Arabidopsis thaliana: one gene and its partner. The protein of the gene in region 1 purifies or fractionates together with the protein of each later gene. This does not show direct contact. Each region holds a gene or a part of one and is shown on either strand. Other genes may lie near its edges. The genes, in order: LIG1 and ATMND1.

The links.
Region 2: the proteins of LIG1 (region 1) and ATMND1 fractionate together in Arabidopsis thaliana (co-fractionation; one large-scale study listed by BioGRID). This does not show direct contact.

What each region holds. Positions count from the first base shown.
Region 1 is NC_003070.9:2,542,065-2,549,808, reverse strand, and holds LIG1 (DNA ligase 1), read left to right. Parts: upstream 1-1,862; 5' UTR 1,863-1,993; coding exon 1,994-2,779; intron 2,780-2,899; coding exon 2,900-3,016; intron 3,017-3,144; coding exon 3,145-3,246; intron 3,247-3,322; coding exon 3,323-3,439; intron 3,440-3,669; coding exon 3,670-3,900; intron 3,901-3,994; coding exon 3,995-4,089; intron 4,090-4,167; coding exon 4,168-4,255; intron 4,256-4,713; coding exon 4,714-4,845; intron 4,846-4,951; coding exon 4,952-5,064; intron 5,065-5,647; coding exon 5,648-5,749; intron 5,750-5,827; coding exon 5,828-5,889; intron 5,890-5,968; coding exon 5,969-6,040; intron 6,041-6,140; coding exon 6,141-6,214; intron 6,215-6,292; coding exon 6,293-6,349; intron 6,350-6,454; coding exon 6,455-6,532; intron 6,533-6,634; coding exon 6,635-6,712; intron 6,713-6,827; coding exon 6,828-6,896; 3' UTR 6,897-7,146; downstream 7,147-7,744. Other genes in the region: CHX6B (cation/H+ exchanger 6B), read left to right, coding at 1-471, 559-990; AT1G08125 (S-adenosyl-L-methionine-dependent methyltransferases superfamily protein), read left to right, coding at 7,677-7,685. UniProt on the Arabidopsis thaliana protein: Essential protein. DNA ligase that seals nicks in double-stranded DNA during DNA replication, DNA recombination and DNA repair. Involved in repair of both single strand breaks (SSBs) and double strand breaks (DSBs).
Region 2 is NC_003075.7:14,381,255-14,386,093, reverse strand, and holds ATMND1 (Mnd1 family protein), read right to left. Parts: upstream 3,259-4,839; 5' UTR 3,110-3,258; coding exon 3,107-3,109; intron 2,638-3,106; exon of another isoform or gene 2,543-2,637; coding exon 2,462-2,542; intron 2,278-2,461; coding exon 2,161-2,277; intron 2,052-2,160; coding exon 2,013-2,051; intron 1,914-2,012; coding exon 1,806-1,913; intron 1,725-1,805; coding exon 1,662-1,724; intron 1,581-1,661; coding exon 1,529-1,580; coding exon of another isoform or gene 1,524-1,528; exon of another isoform or gene 1,388-1,523; coding exon 1,343-1,387; intron 1,247-1,342; coding exon 1,167-1,246; intron 1,071-1,166; coding exon 966-1,070; 3' UTR 629-965; downstream 1-628. Other genes in the region: RHS16 (root hair specific 16), read right to left, coding at 1-104, 385-463; SNF7.1 (SNF7 family protein), read right to left, coding at 3,752-3,946, 4,026-4,140, 4,311-4,402, 4,490-4,575, 4,654-4,753. UniProt on the Arabidopsis thaliana protein: Required for proper homologous chromosome pairing and efficient cross-over and intragenic recombination during meiosis.

The DNA of each region.
Region 1 (7,744 bases):
ACATCGATGATTAGCCTTCTTAGAGCAACTTCCCCATCTAAAGACTCTCCAATGGAATGTTGTGTTCTTCACCTAATAGAGTTATTGGGTCAAGCTACTCCCACGTTTATCTCCCACCAGCTTCAAAAACCAAAGCCTGGAAGTCGGTCTTATTCCGAAAATGTCATAAGCTCTTTCCAACTGTTTCAAGAGGTTTATTGGGACTCCGCTTCCATAAACATGTTCACGTCTTTAACTTCCGCTAAAGAGATGCATGAACAAATATGTTGGTTTGCTCTTAGTCAAGGTTCCAATCTTATTCTCCTCTCGTTTCACCGCACTTGGGAGCCTAACGGAAATGTCATTATCTCAGACGATCAAACCCTAAGAAGTCTTAATCTTAATGTTCTGAAACGCGCCCCTTGTTCTGTCGGAATCTTTGTTTATCGCAAACCAATTTGGCAAACCAAAGCCCTAGAATCTCCGTGCCGTGTAAGTAACTACATTCTTTTTTTTTTGTTTTTTTTTGTTTATTCTAAATGATGTTGAATATTTTTTATTTTCATACATTAAATGCAGGTGTGCTTGATTTACGTGGGTGGGAATGACGACAAAGAGGCCCTGGCATTAGCTGACCACATGAGAGGTAACCAACAAGTGATTCTAACGGTCTTGCGTCTGATCCCTACGTCTTATGCCGATGAGAGTAGCTTGAGGATTCATAGCCAAATGGTAGACATGAACCGTCATGAAGACCAAAGGCCTGGAGATAAGTCAACCATCATTGACTGGACGGTGGGAGATGGCACAGAGACATCCAAAATTTTGCACTCCGTGTCTTACGACTATGATCTATTCATAGTCGGTCGAAGAAGTGGGGTTGGTACTACAGTCACCAGAGGACTCGGGGATTGGATGGAATTCGAAGAACTTGGAGTCATTGGAGATTTGTTAGCATCTGAATATTTTCCTTCTAGAGCCTCCGTGTTAGTCGTCCAACAACAAGAGTGAGAAGCATTTATCCTGAAATTGAGTTAGCTTCAATCTTGGTTTATTTTCCTTATTGAAATTAAGATCCTTTACAAACAAAGTGTAACGGATCTTATAGGAAGCACACAATAGATTTTTTTGTGTTGTAAGGACTACAAAACACATGTTCATCATTCATGTATAGGGGAGAAATACATATACTAGGTGATGAGAAGGTAAATCATCGATCCCACAAATTAACAGGCGGATTTAGTGAAGAAATACAGGGTGCATGTGCAACCACTAAATTATTGAAATATGTGTTTTATTTTAATTCTACACTAAGATTTGTATCCTAATTGGCCAATTAAACAAGATAAAGATTAAAAGTTGAGGAACTCGTAAACAGCCCTTCACGCGCTTAATTTTTTAATTTTACGGAAAACAGCAATTTCGCATGGATTTCGGATAGGTGGCGTCTACGCGCTCATTGTGCGAATGAGTAAGATACTTAGATTTCACAGTTCGATAACCATACGCGTCACGTTTGGGCTGACATTATACTGTCTATTGGGCTATAACGATATTTTTTCCATATCATAGACCCACATAAAATAAAAAGGCCCAATAACAAAAATTTAAAACTAGGGCACAGTTTAGTGTATGAGTATCCATTAGTGATAGCATTTGATGTAATTTATAAAATATTATATTTACAATAACCTTTGAAATAATCATCACAATTTTGTCCAAATTTGAAGTTTTCAAAAAAATAAAATTTGATCATTGGGATCTATTAAAGATTTGGACTAACCCTAATTAGTAATTACAGGTAGAAACTCTGGATAAAAAATCGTATTCTTTCGGCAAATCCGAACCATCTTAAGATATCTTAGCCCGCTTCTTCAGGTGGTCCTAATTTGGCCCAACATAAAGGAGAGAGTGGCGGGTGAGAAATTCTGCCGCCAATATATTATCACCTTTCTTCAAGGTTGCAAACTTGCAACACCTGTCCTTTCTAAAACCCTAATTTCAAAATCGACTGATGTTAGCGATTCGATCGTCGAATTACCTCCGATGCATACCTTCTCTCTGTACTAAAACCCAAATCTCTCAATTCTCCTCCGTGTTAATCTCTTTTAGCCGCCAAATTTCCCACTTGCGTCTTAGCTCGTGCCATAGAGCCATGTCTTCTTCCCGCCCTTCTGCATTTGATGCTCTCATGTCCAATGCTCGTGCAGCCGCCAAGAAGAAGACTCCCCAGACAACTAATTTGTCTCGCTCGCCGAACAAAAGGAAAATTGGAGAAACCCAAGATGCTAATTTGGGCAAAACTATTGTTTCCGAAGGTACACTTCCAAAAACGGAGGATCTGCTGGAGCCTGTTTCTGATTCTGCAAATCCCAGATCGGATACATCGTCAATTGCGGAGGATTCAAAGACGGGAGCGAAAAAGGCTAAGACTTTGAGCAAGACAGACGAAATGAAGAGCAAAATTGGATTGCTGAAGAAGAAGCCGAATGATTTCGATCCTGAAAAAATGTCTTGCTGGGAGAAAGGGGAGAGAGTTCCGTTTCTGTTTGTCGCATTGGCTTTTGATCTGATCTCAAATGAAAGTGGCCGGATTGTGATTACTGATATTCTGTGTAACATGTTGAGAACTGTTATTGCCACTACTCCTGAGGATTTGGTCGCTACTGTTTATCTTTCGGCGAATGAGATTGCCCCGGCTCATGAAGGTGTAGAATTGGGAATTGGTGAGAGTACAATTATCAAGGCTATCTCTGAGGCTTTTGGTAGAACTGAGGATCATGTTAAGAAGCAGAATACGGTATGTTGACTTTTTAAAACTTTTGTTGCCTTGTAATTCAATGAGCTTGTCTGGTGTGGAATTGCTATAAGGTTTTTGAATAAGAAAATTAGCAGTTCTGAAATTGAACTTGATTTATAGGAACTGGGAGACTTGGGACTTGTAGCAAAAGGAAGCCGTTCGACTCAGACTATGATGTTCAAGCCCGAACCATTGACTGTTGTCAAGGTTTTCGATACGTTTCGACAAATTGCTAAGGTATTTATAACCTTGTGGCTTTTGAATGCTTGAAATTTTGTTTATGCTTTCAATTGAGATTCAGTCAACCGTCTTTTTGTCTGACTGCATAGAAGATGAGTGGGACTATTGCATGTTAACTATTACAGGAAAGTGGAAAAGATAGTAATGAAAAGAAGAAGAATCGAATGAAGGCACTTCTTGTGGCGACAACAGACTGTGAACCTCTTTACTTAACACGATTACTTCAGGTATGCATCAACCGCCACTATTTTTCTGCTTATCCGTTTGGGTTCCTTATTTCGCCCTTCTTAATTTACCTTGCAGGCAAAATTGCGGTTAGGGTTCTCAGGTCAGACTGTCTTAGCCGCATTGGGACAAGCCGCTGTATATAATGAAGAGCACTCAAAGCCACCCCCAAATACCAAGTCTCCTTTAGAAGAGGTCTGCTATCTCTTTTTGTTTTTGTATCTCCCACTTATATATCAGAATCCTTCTTTCCGAGTTTTGTGAGTAAAAATATATTTTCTGAGCTACTCTAAGGATGTTGTGTTGCTGTAGGATCTCTATGTAGTATTCTTTGAGAGACGTCACAATTTACCTTCTATGCATTTCTGTAATCTTATGCCATTACACTTCTTTCCTGGATCCATCATTCTGCTCTGTTCTTGTAGGCTGCAAAGATTGTTAAACAAGTATTCACTGTACTTCCTGTCTATGACATTATTGTTCCTGCTCTTCTAAGTGGCGGTGTGTGGAATCTTCCAAAAACTTGTAACTTTACATTGGGTGTTCCAATTGGACCCATGCTTGCAAAACCAACCAAAGGTGTAGCTGAGATACTGAATAAATTCCAGGACATCGTTTTCACATGTGAATACAAATATGATGGGGAACGTGCACAGGTGATATTTGGTGTCTACTGAATTAGGATGAATGCTATTCTTAGATATGAGTTATTTAAATATGGTATGGCTTATCATCAATCAATTTCTGCAGATACATTTTATGGAGGATGGTACATTTGAGATATACAGTCGAAATGCTGAAAGAAACACTGGGAAGTACCCGGATGTTGCTCTTGCGTTATCAAGGTAAACATCTGGTGTAACTGGTTGAAAACATTAGAGATTCAATCTTTCTACTGAAGTTAGTGAAACATCTCAATGCAGATTAAAGAAGCCTTCTGTGAAATCTTTTATTCTGGATTGTGAAGTTGTTGCTTTCGACAGGGAGAAAAAGAAAATTCTTCCGTTCCAGGTAACTCATAAGTGAATAGCGTTCTGATATTAAAGTATGGTTGCAGCCTTATATTTTGTCTATTCATTTACGGTATGTTATTTTATAGAAATGCCAGAGAAATGTTAAATGTGTTAGAGTTTCCATCTTGTTAGCCAGTGAATTAAGAAATAAGCATAGCTGTAATGCTCTTTTAGACCAGATTTTCGGGTTTTGGACACTGTCTAACCTTTAATTTTGCCAACGTTACTGAATAAACCTTGTTACACTTATGGATCTTTAATGGCACTCAGACAGTTTTGGTGATTCACCTAATTTTTGCTTATGTTTAGTGTTGGTGTGAAGAGGATTGTTAATATATATCAATTGTTATAAAGCTCCTGTTATTGGATTAATTTACATTAGTTGAAGTTAGCTATTTCAAACTATTTGACTTGATGTCTTTTTTCTCTCTCTTTTTTTTTCTTTTCTTTTTCCAGATTTTGAGCACTCGAGCCCGTAAAAATGTGAATGTCAATGATATCAAGGTTGGCGTATGCATCTTTGCTTTTGACATGTTATATCTAAATGGCCAACAACTTATCCAGGAGAATCTTAAAATTCGCCGAGAGGTGAGCAATATCTGTATATCATTATAATATTTTGTTTTTCTTTGGTTGCAGTCAAGTTCTTGTTGTGCAAATATGTAATCATTTGTGTTCACCTTGCTTCTAGCAGAAGCTATACGAATCATTTGAGGAAGATCCTGGGTATTTCCAGTTTGCAACTGCTGTAACATCTAACGATATCGATGAAATACAAAAGTTTCTTGACGCTTCTGTTGATGTTGGGTATATCTCTTGACACTTCTCTGTATCTCTAAAAAGTGCAGTAAACTTTGGTGTAAATTGTTGCATATCACTTTCTCTTTAGTAGCATATTAGTTAGAGATTTTGGTAGATATTTACTGCTTTCAGGTATTTTTTATTTTAGAGAGTTATCTTTATATGTTCAAGGGTATGATAATTTAGCAATTTGATCATACTCGTACTGATTGTTGCCTAGCATCTTCTCTTTAGCACCATCTTTCACCTTCATCTGAGTTCACATAAATTTAGAGATTCTGGTAGATATTTACTCATTTCGGGTATTCTATTTTAGATAGTTATCCAATTATCTGTTACATGTTTAAGGATATGATAAATTAACAATTTGACCATGCCTGTAGTGATATATGATATGACATTGAGTTCTGCTTCAATATCTCTATGCTGTTTCGATTTTCATGATTTGCCTTCAGGATGAAAATTGCATTTTTAGCAATTTGACCCACGCATGTTGTGATTTCTCTACACCTATGTCTATTACATAGGCCTATGCCTTTTATCTCTATGATGTTCCCGTTCATCTATATATTCTTTTTTTCTTTTGCAGCTGCGAAGGTTTAATCATTAAAACATTGGACTCAGATGCTACCTATGAGCCTGCAAAGCGATCAAATAATTGGCTAAAACTGAAGAAAGACTATATGGACAGGCAAGACTCTCTTAAACATTTTTCTTAAAAAAGTTTAAATCGAACAGTTTTTTACTGACTATAGGATTACATGTGCAGCATTGGGGACTCTGTGGATCTTGTACCAATTGCTGCTTTCCATGGACGTGGAAAACGCACAGGTGAAAACCACGAAAATACATTGGATGATACATTCTTCATTCTCTATGCTCTTAACAAAGCCTTATGATTTCCTTCTAGGTGTCTATGGTGCATTTTTACTCGCTTGCTATGATGTTGATAAGGAAGAGTTCCAGAGCATTTGTAAAATTGGTCAGTCGAATACATGAATACACCTTGGTATTTCATATTATGTATGTGTGTTCAGTTTTTCAAGTTTCTTAAACCTTGGTTATACGGTTTGGGCTACTAGGTACTGGATTTTCTGATGCCATGCTTGACGAGCGGTCGTCCAGTCTTCGCTCTCAAGTGATTGCTACTCCAAAAGTAGGATATTTTCTTCTTCCTTATCATATATGTCTCTAGCATGAATTCTTATTTAATTGTAATGATTCAAATATCCAGCAATACTACCGAGTTGGAGACAGCCTCAATCCAGATGTTTGGTTTGAGCCCACTGAGGTAGGATTATGTTTGCTTGTACTCAAAATGTTATCTTATATTTATTAGTTTCGCCATTCTATCGTATGGGTTGAAATGAAAGGTAAAAAATATGTTTGCTTAAAGGTCTGGGAAGTGAAAGCAGCTGACTTAACAATTAGCCCTGTGCACCGTGCAGCTACTGGCATAGTGGATCCTGATAAGGTTTAACTTTCTCCGACTTATTTTCTTCTTTTTCCTTTTTGGTTTGAATATCTCTGCTGATATATTGTTACGTATTGGTTTTCAATTTTGTTTCGTTAAAAGGGGATTTCTCTTCGTTTTCCTCGTCTACTTCGTGTACGGGAAGACAAGAAGCCCGAGGAAGCAACATCATCTGAGCAGGTGAAGTTTCATTCTAATTACACTCATATGTTTTCAATACTGGAAAGACAAGACCAGACTGGTTTTGAAACTCTTTTCCTTTTTCTAATTCTCAATTTTCCCTGCACATTTTCAGATTGCTGATTTGTACCAAGCTCAGAAACACAATCATCCAAGTAATGAAGTCAAAGGTGACGATGATTGAACAACAGTAATCTGGCCTCAGAGCACATTTCCTCGTATGTACGACATTGCTCGTAACTTGCTAATGATGCACATTGCGTGTTTGAGTTTTCAACTGTAACTGCTTATGTAAAACTGCTTTTAGGAAAAGTGAATGAAAGGTTCTGGAAAAAAATTGGTACACTCATCAACTGACTCTGGAATGAATAAAAACACTGCCCTGATTGACATCACTGAGCTATCTATGATTGGCAGAAATGTGGAATATGTTTACAGTAGAAACAGGATACTTGAGGCAAGATACAGTAACTACATCATTGGCTTATGAGTTTAATAGTTGTCAGCAGAAGACGAGCCTCTGGTTTGTAGTCTCACTCGAAGCAAGATAAATAAATAGTTAAATACTGTATAGTAGGTGGGCCTAAACCGTAGGTTTTAAAACCAATAAACATGTAATTGTAATAGGTCCACAAATTAACTCATTAAACTGGATTTGGGCCGAAGTGTAAAAAGACGAAACCTCAAAAGGCTTAAAACCTCAAAAGGCTTAAAACCTCAAAAGGCTTAACACCTCTTGGTGAGGCAGAGGTTTTGGCCTTGGGCGTCGTTTCCCATATGCTCGACTGGAACTTAAACGCCTTTACTGAAAATCTACTTGAAACGATAAATCGCCGTAGTTTGTGTTTCGATCGGACGACGAACAAATGGATCCCGACAGGTATTCCACTTTATCTATCCTCTAACTTGGCTTATGATTCATTATCAGACAATTTTTTTTGTTATAAGCTTTGCGCAAACAAATATGAAAATGGTCTTTGGTTACGGAACAATCATATTAGCTTATAGAAGCTTTAATTTCTTCGGTGGTTG
Region 2 (4,839 bases), on another chromosome or scaffold:
TACTCCAGCGTTGATGAAAGGTGCATCCCAGGTGTAACTGATACCAGTATCAGTGTCTACATAGTTAATATTAGGGGGTGACCCACAATCTATGCTGATGAAACCTGGACCAGAAGAAGGTAAGGGTTTTGATTAATTCTACAACGTTGAGAAAATTTTCATCAAAATTCCAATGCAGGTTTAAATTTTAGAACCTAAAGCATTCAATCATAGAAACAGACTTGGACCTCACTTATCATGTCAAACCAATAATCAGAACACGGTTTTGGCCAAAATGCAACCACATATATCAAAACTTCAAAAATCTTTGGTCTGAAGATTGCTCATTTTCAAATCAAAACAGACTCTAACAGAGGAAAATAAGCGAGAATGAGACTCACGAACCTGCTTGGCCTTGGCCATGTACTACAATGGCAATGGCAATGACGGAAAAAAGGATGAGAAAAACAGAGTGAGCTCCCATGTTCTTCTTATTTTGTAAAGCTCAGCTCATCATCGTCAGAAAAACAGACAACCTGCGTTTAAGATAACACAAAAACACAAAAGACTAGAAAGTACAAAGTCTATGCCCATTTCCTCTTCTGGTAGCAACAAAATTGACCTGGAGGTGTATAACATAAGTGCTGCTCACGACTGAAAAAAGCGGCCAAGAAAGAATATAAAATGGTAATACAGCTATCAAGAAGTAACCAGTGGGTCAACAACTAACGCATGATATATATATAACTCCAATAAAATATTATAACAAAACATAGCCAAGCTTGGACATAGCCGACAGATACAAAGAAAATAAAAATCTTTTCTGACCACAGAATTTGTAACCGAGTTTTGACATTAGATGATTGGGTCACATAGAGAATTACAGACTGTTGCAACCTTTAAAACCAGAAAACTTAAAAGGATAGTGAAAAGATTTTTTACTTAAGCTATTGTTTCTTTAACTGTTATGCTGGAGAGTATTAGAACTAAGCTTCATCTTGTACTAGCTGCTTTGCGGTATCAGCTTCATGGGATGAGCTCAAAGGGAATGATGATAACTCTATGTAATCAAAGTCCTCAGTGATTCCCGCCTGAAAGTTACCCAGCTGATTTAGTCTCTCCTTCATGTATGAGAATGTGAAATGTGGAATTTATAGCCTTTTGAAGTGAAAAGATCTGGAAGATACCTCCGTGTATAGATGTTCTAGCTGTTCCTTGGCCTGGGGGAAGTTGTTTGAACACCATTGTCGCAGTGTGAAGATGTTATCTGAGTAAGTTTGAAAGAATTATAATCTAGGCTGCAGTGAAAATTACGTAAGTATTAAAACTGAAAACACATTCCCAAGTTTTAGAAATGAAATACCTGTCCATCTGTTAGCCGACTGGTGAGCAACTTCAATTGCATTCCCTGTCAAAATTAGAAGGAATATACACATTGATACAGCTAGTAAAGCACAAGATTGATTCTTATTTCTGCTCCACGAAGACCGGGAAAACCATATAGGAGATCTAACACAAAACAAAAGTAACGTATTATGCAGAACTTAACTCTTTGCCTCCAAAGTAGCTGGATCGTTGTCAGCAAATTGTACCATCTCGTTCTGTTTAAGAAGAAGAAACTGTTAGCAACTTGTTAAGCATGTGAATAGCTCTATGCAAACAGATAGTCTGTATAATCTGACCTTCAGATCTTTGTGTTTCTTTTCAATATCTTTGAGTTGCGTCAAGGCCTCTGTTCGTTCCTCCTGCAGCAAGAACAGCAATTCTGGTGAAAAGCACACGTAAGCTTATTCGAGCATTAATTCTACAATACTGAAAATACTTACCGATTCTTCCCTTCCCTTCTTTAGGGCCTCACACTGATCAACAAGTTCTGCTAACCTTTTGTTACTACCCTGAAGATCAGATTCAAGTTTCTGGCGAACACTCCTAAGCTGTTCATTCAAAATGAGATCAGAAACAATGAATTTCGCTATGCTCAAATTAATATGAATCTTTTTGATGTCATCTCAGGATACAGAACGGTGACTCACTTGATTGCCAGCACAGCTGGGAAGGCTCCAAAAGTAGATCTTCATTTGCAAAATAATGAACACCGTCAAACAACATATAACAGAGACAAGGACTATATGGCAACAAATGAAATAAAAAGATCCAACATAGGAACACTAAGCTACTCACAGAAATTCCAATCTTGTCTTTCGCAACAAGATCATCATCGACTAAACTCTGGATAACATCTTTCACAGACTGACTAATTACACCCTTCTTCGGCCCCATCTTCTCAAGTTCCTTTAGCTGAAATTTTTTTACAAAAGTAGAGACCCATAAGTGCTTGTATCACAAACCCAAAAGTTCAATAGCAACAAATTTAGGCAGTATATGCACTTCACGACTCTAGATATCAGATCACTTGGTAGATAAAGCTAGTTCAAAGGCGTCCAAAAATTAGCAAGTTGTAAAAACTAAAGAAAGTGCTCACTAGGAAGAAGTCTTGAGACTCATAGAATATCTGAAGCATCTTCTCTCGTTTCTCCTCCAGCGAAAGTCCCCGTTTCTTAGACTGAATATCATCAACAATAGAAAGCAGCGATTCAGTTGATACGAGAATGACGAAAAAAAACTTCAGAGCTTCAATGACGAAATCCAACAAATGATCTGTCAACAAATAGTTTCCAGATCGAAAATGTCAAAAATATATACAGTCAACTCAGCGACTACACTGATTGCGAGAATTGGCTGCTAGATAAATGCTAATTCGAGAACCTATCGATTCGCGTCATGCAGTCCAAGTGTTTGCGGAAATTCCTCACACAAATTTGTAATGAACTACGGAAGATAGAAACATTACTACCGATGAACGATAAGTTTAAACAAATTTCTTCGAAGAGTAAGAGAAACACATAACGATGACTACTAAACATTCAAACAAATAGGTCGAATCAATACATCCAAAATTCTCTTGTAAGTCGAAGAATCACAAGCTAAGATCATCAGTGTAAGATAATCACGATTCATAGAATCATAGAGAATAATCACTCGATCTTCCCAGGAAAATGCACAAATCACAGAGGTTCATTAGCGAAACAAAATCACAAGTAGAGAACATTCGTCCAGAGTATATTACCATCGTGATCTCTTGCTCCTGGTGATGCAATCCAAAGGATTTCAAACACTGCTACAGCTCTCTCTCACTCTCTTCCCTCACTATCGTCTCCTCTCTTTATCAAATTCGAAATGAGAGAATTGTAGAAGAAGCCTTGAAAACTTAAGCGGGTTATTATCCCTCGCTTTCTGTTTCATTTTTTATTCCAATTAATTTGAATTTAACCTTAAAACGACACGGAGTCCAATTTTATGGTACCAAAACGGCATGATGTTTGTTAAAGCAGCGAAGTCAACGTATATGGTTGACTATTCATGAGTAGTCTTATCAGGCGAAAGTGATGAACATAGGAGTAAAGTGATTATTAACCAAAGGAAAAAGTGTCATAAAAAGATACAAAAATTACAAAAGATAAATTATGTGAAGAACACTCAAATTGCAGATAACATTAACGACGGGGATTATAAAAGTTTTTCGCTCCGAATTAATCTGATTCAGATCCTTATATACATCGTCTGTTCGTGTCTATCAATGCATACATGTCTCTGCTCGGAGAGGTGAATAACCTGCAGTTAAACCAAGCCAATTGCAAAACTAGTTAAATTACAAATCCATAGTCTGTAAGCAAATTGATTGATTTTGCTTTGATTATAGATAGAAGAGACCTTAGAGGGCCATCTCAGCCTGTAATGCAGCGAGTTCTTCTTCCTCAGCAGTCCGCTTCTGGGGAACAGGACGAGCCGGTTGACGCCCTGCAGGCACTGGAACTGAAGGCAATGGAGGAGCTGTTGTTGCCGGCTGTAGAAGTTGCGATTCAAGCTCTTCACTTTCTAGTTCATCAAGCTCTGCTGCAAGCTCATCCTATCAAAGAGAAGTTTTTCTTAGACAAAAGTCATTATTAGTTGAAAAATATATGATCATTTGGGTACAAGAAAGTTACCTCGTCGAAGTCAGCCGCTGCCCCCATTGGAGTCGCCAATGCTTCTTGGATCTGTTTCATGTTCTCGGTTTGCTCATTGATCTCGTCCATGGTCTTATCCACATCATCAATATTTCTGCAAAATATTGTGTTTTGAGTTAGTCAGGCACTAGAAATGTTAAAGCATTCAAGCACAAGAAAAGCATAAGTATTTTGAATACCAAGCTCGTATTAACGATTCCCAGAACTGATGACGGTTAAAATGGTAGTAAAGAGTAATATGGTGAAAATGTGATGAACACTTACGTTGCTTTCTGCATTGCCTTCATTGCAGAAGCTCCACTCCTCAATGCATCAACAGTTTCGGTTGTTGCTTTTGCACCTTCTAACATAATCATCTGTATGACAAAAAGATATAAGATCCCAATAAATTCATCTAATTACTGCTATATAGTTTATAGTTAACAATCTTAAAACAAACTCACTTGATCATGAATACGGAGCTGGAAATTCCCAAGCTGTTCGACTTGTCCCTCATATAACCTCTTCCTTTTCAAACACTGTATAGCCGCTGCAAAAACCCAATACAGCTTTTAAGTACTCCAGTGATTAGCAACACACATGAGTCATAATAAATAAGAGGTCATACCTCGTTTGTTCTTAGCCCGGGAGTATTCTTTTGCCTTCTCAACCTCTGCACCAGCTTTCTTCAAGAGTACTTTCTCCTTTTTCTCTAGCATCTCAAGCGTCTGCAATGAACAAATCAACAAAATTTGAATATGGTTTAAAAGCAAACGATCATATAAATTGTACTCAGAAATCCCCAATTCAATCG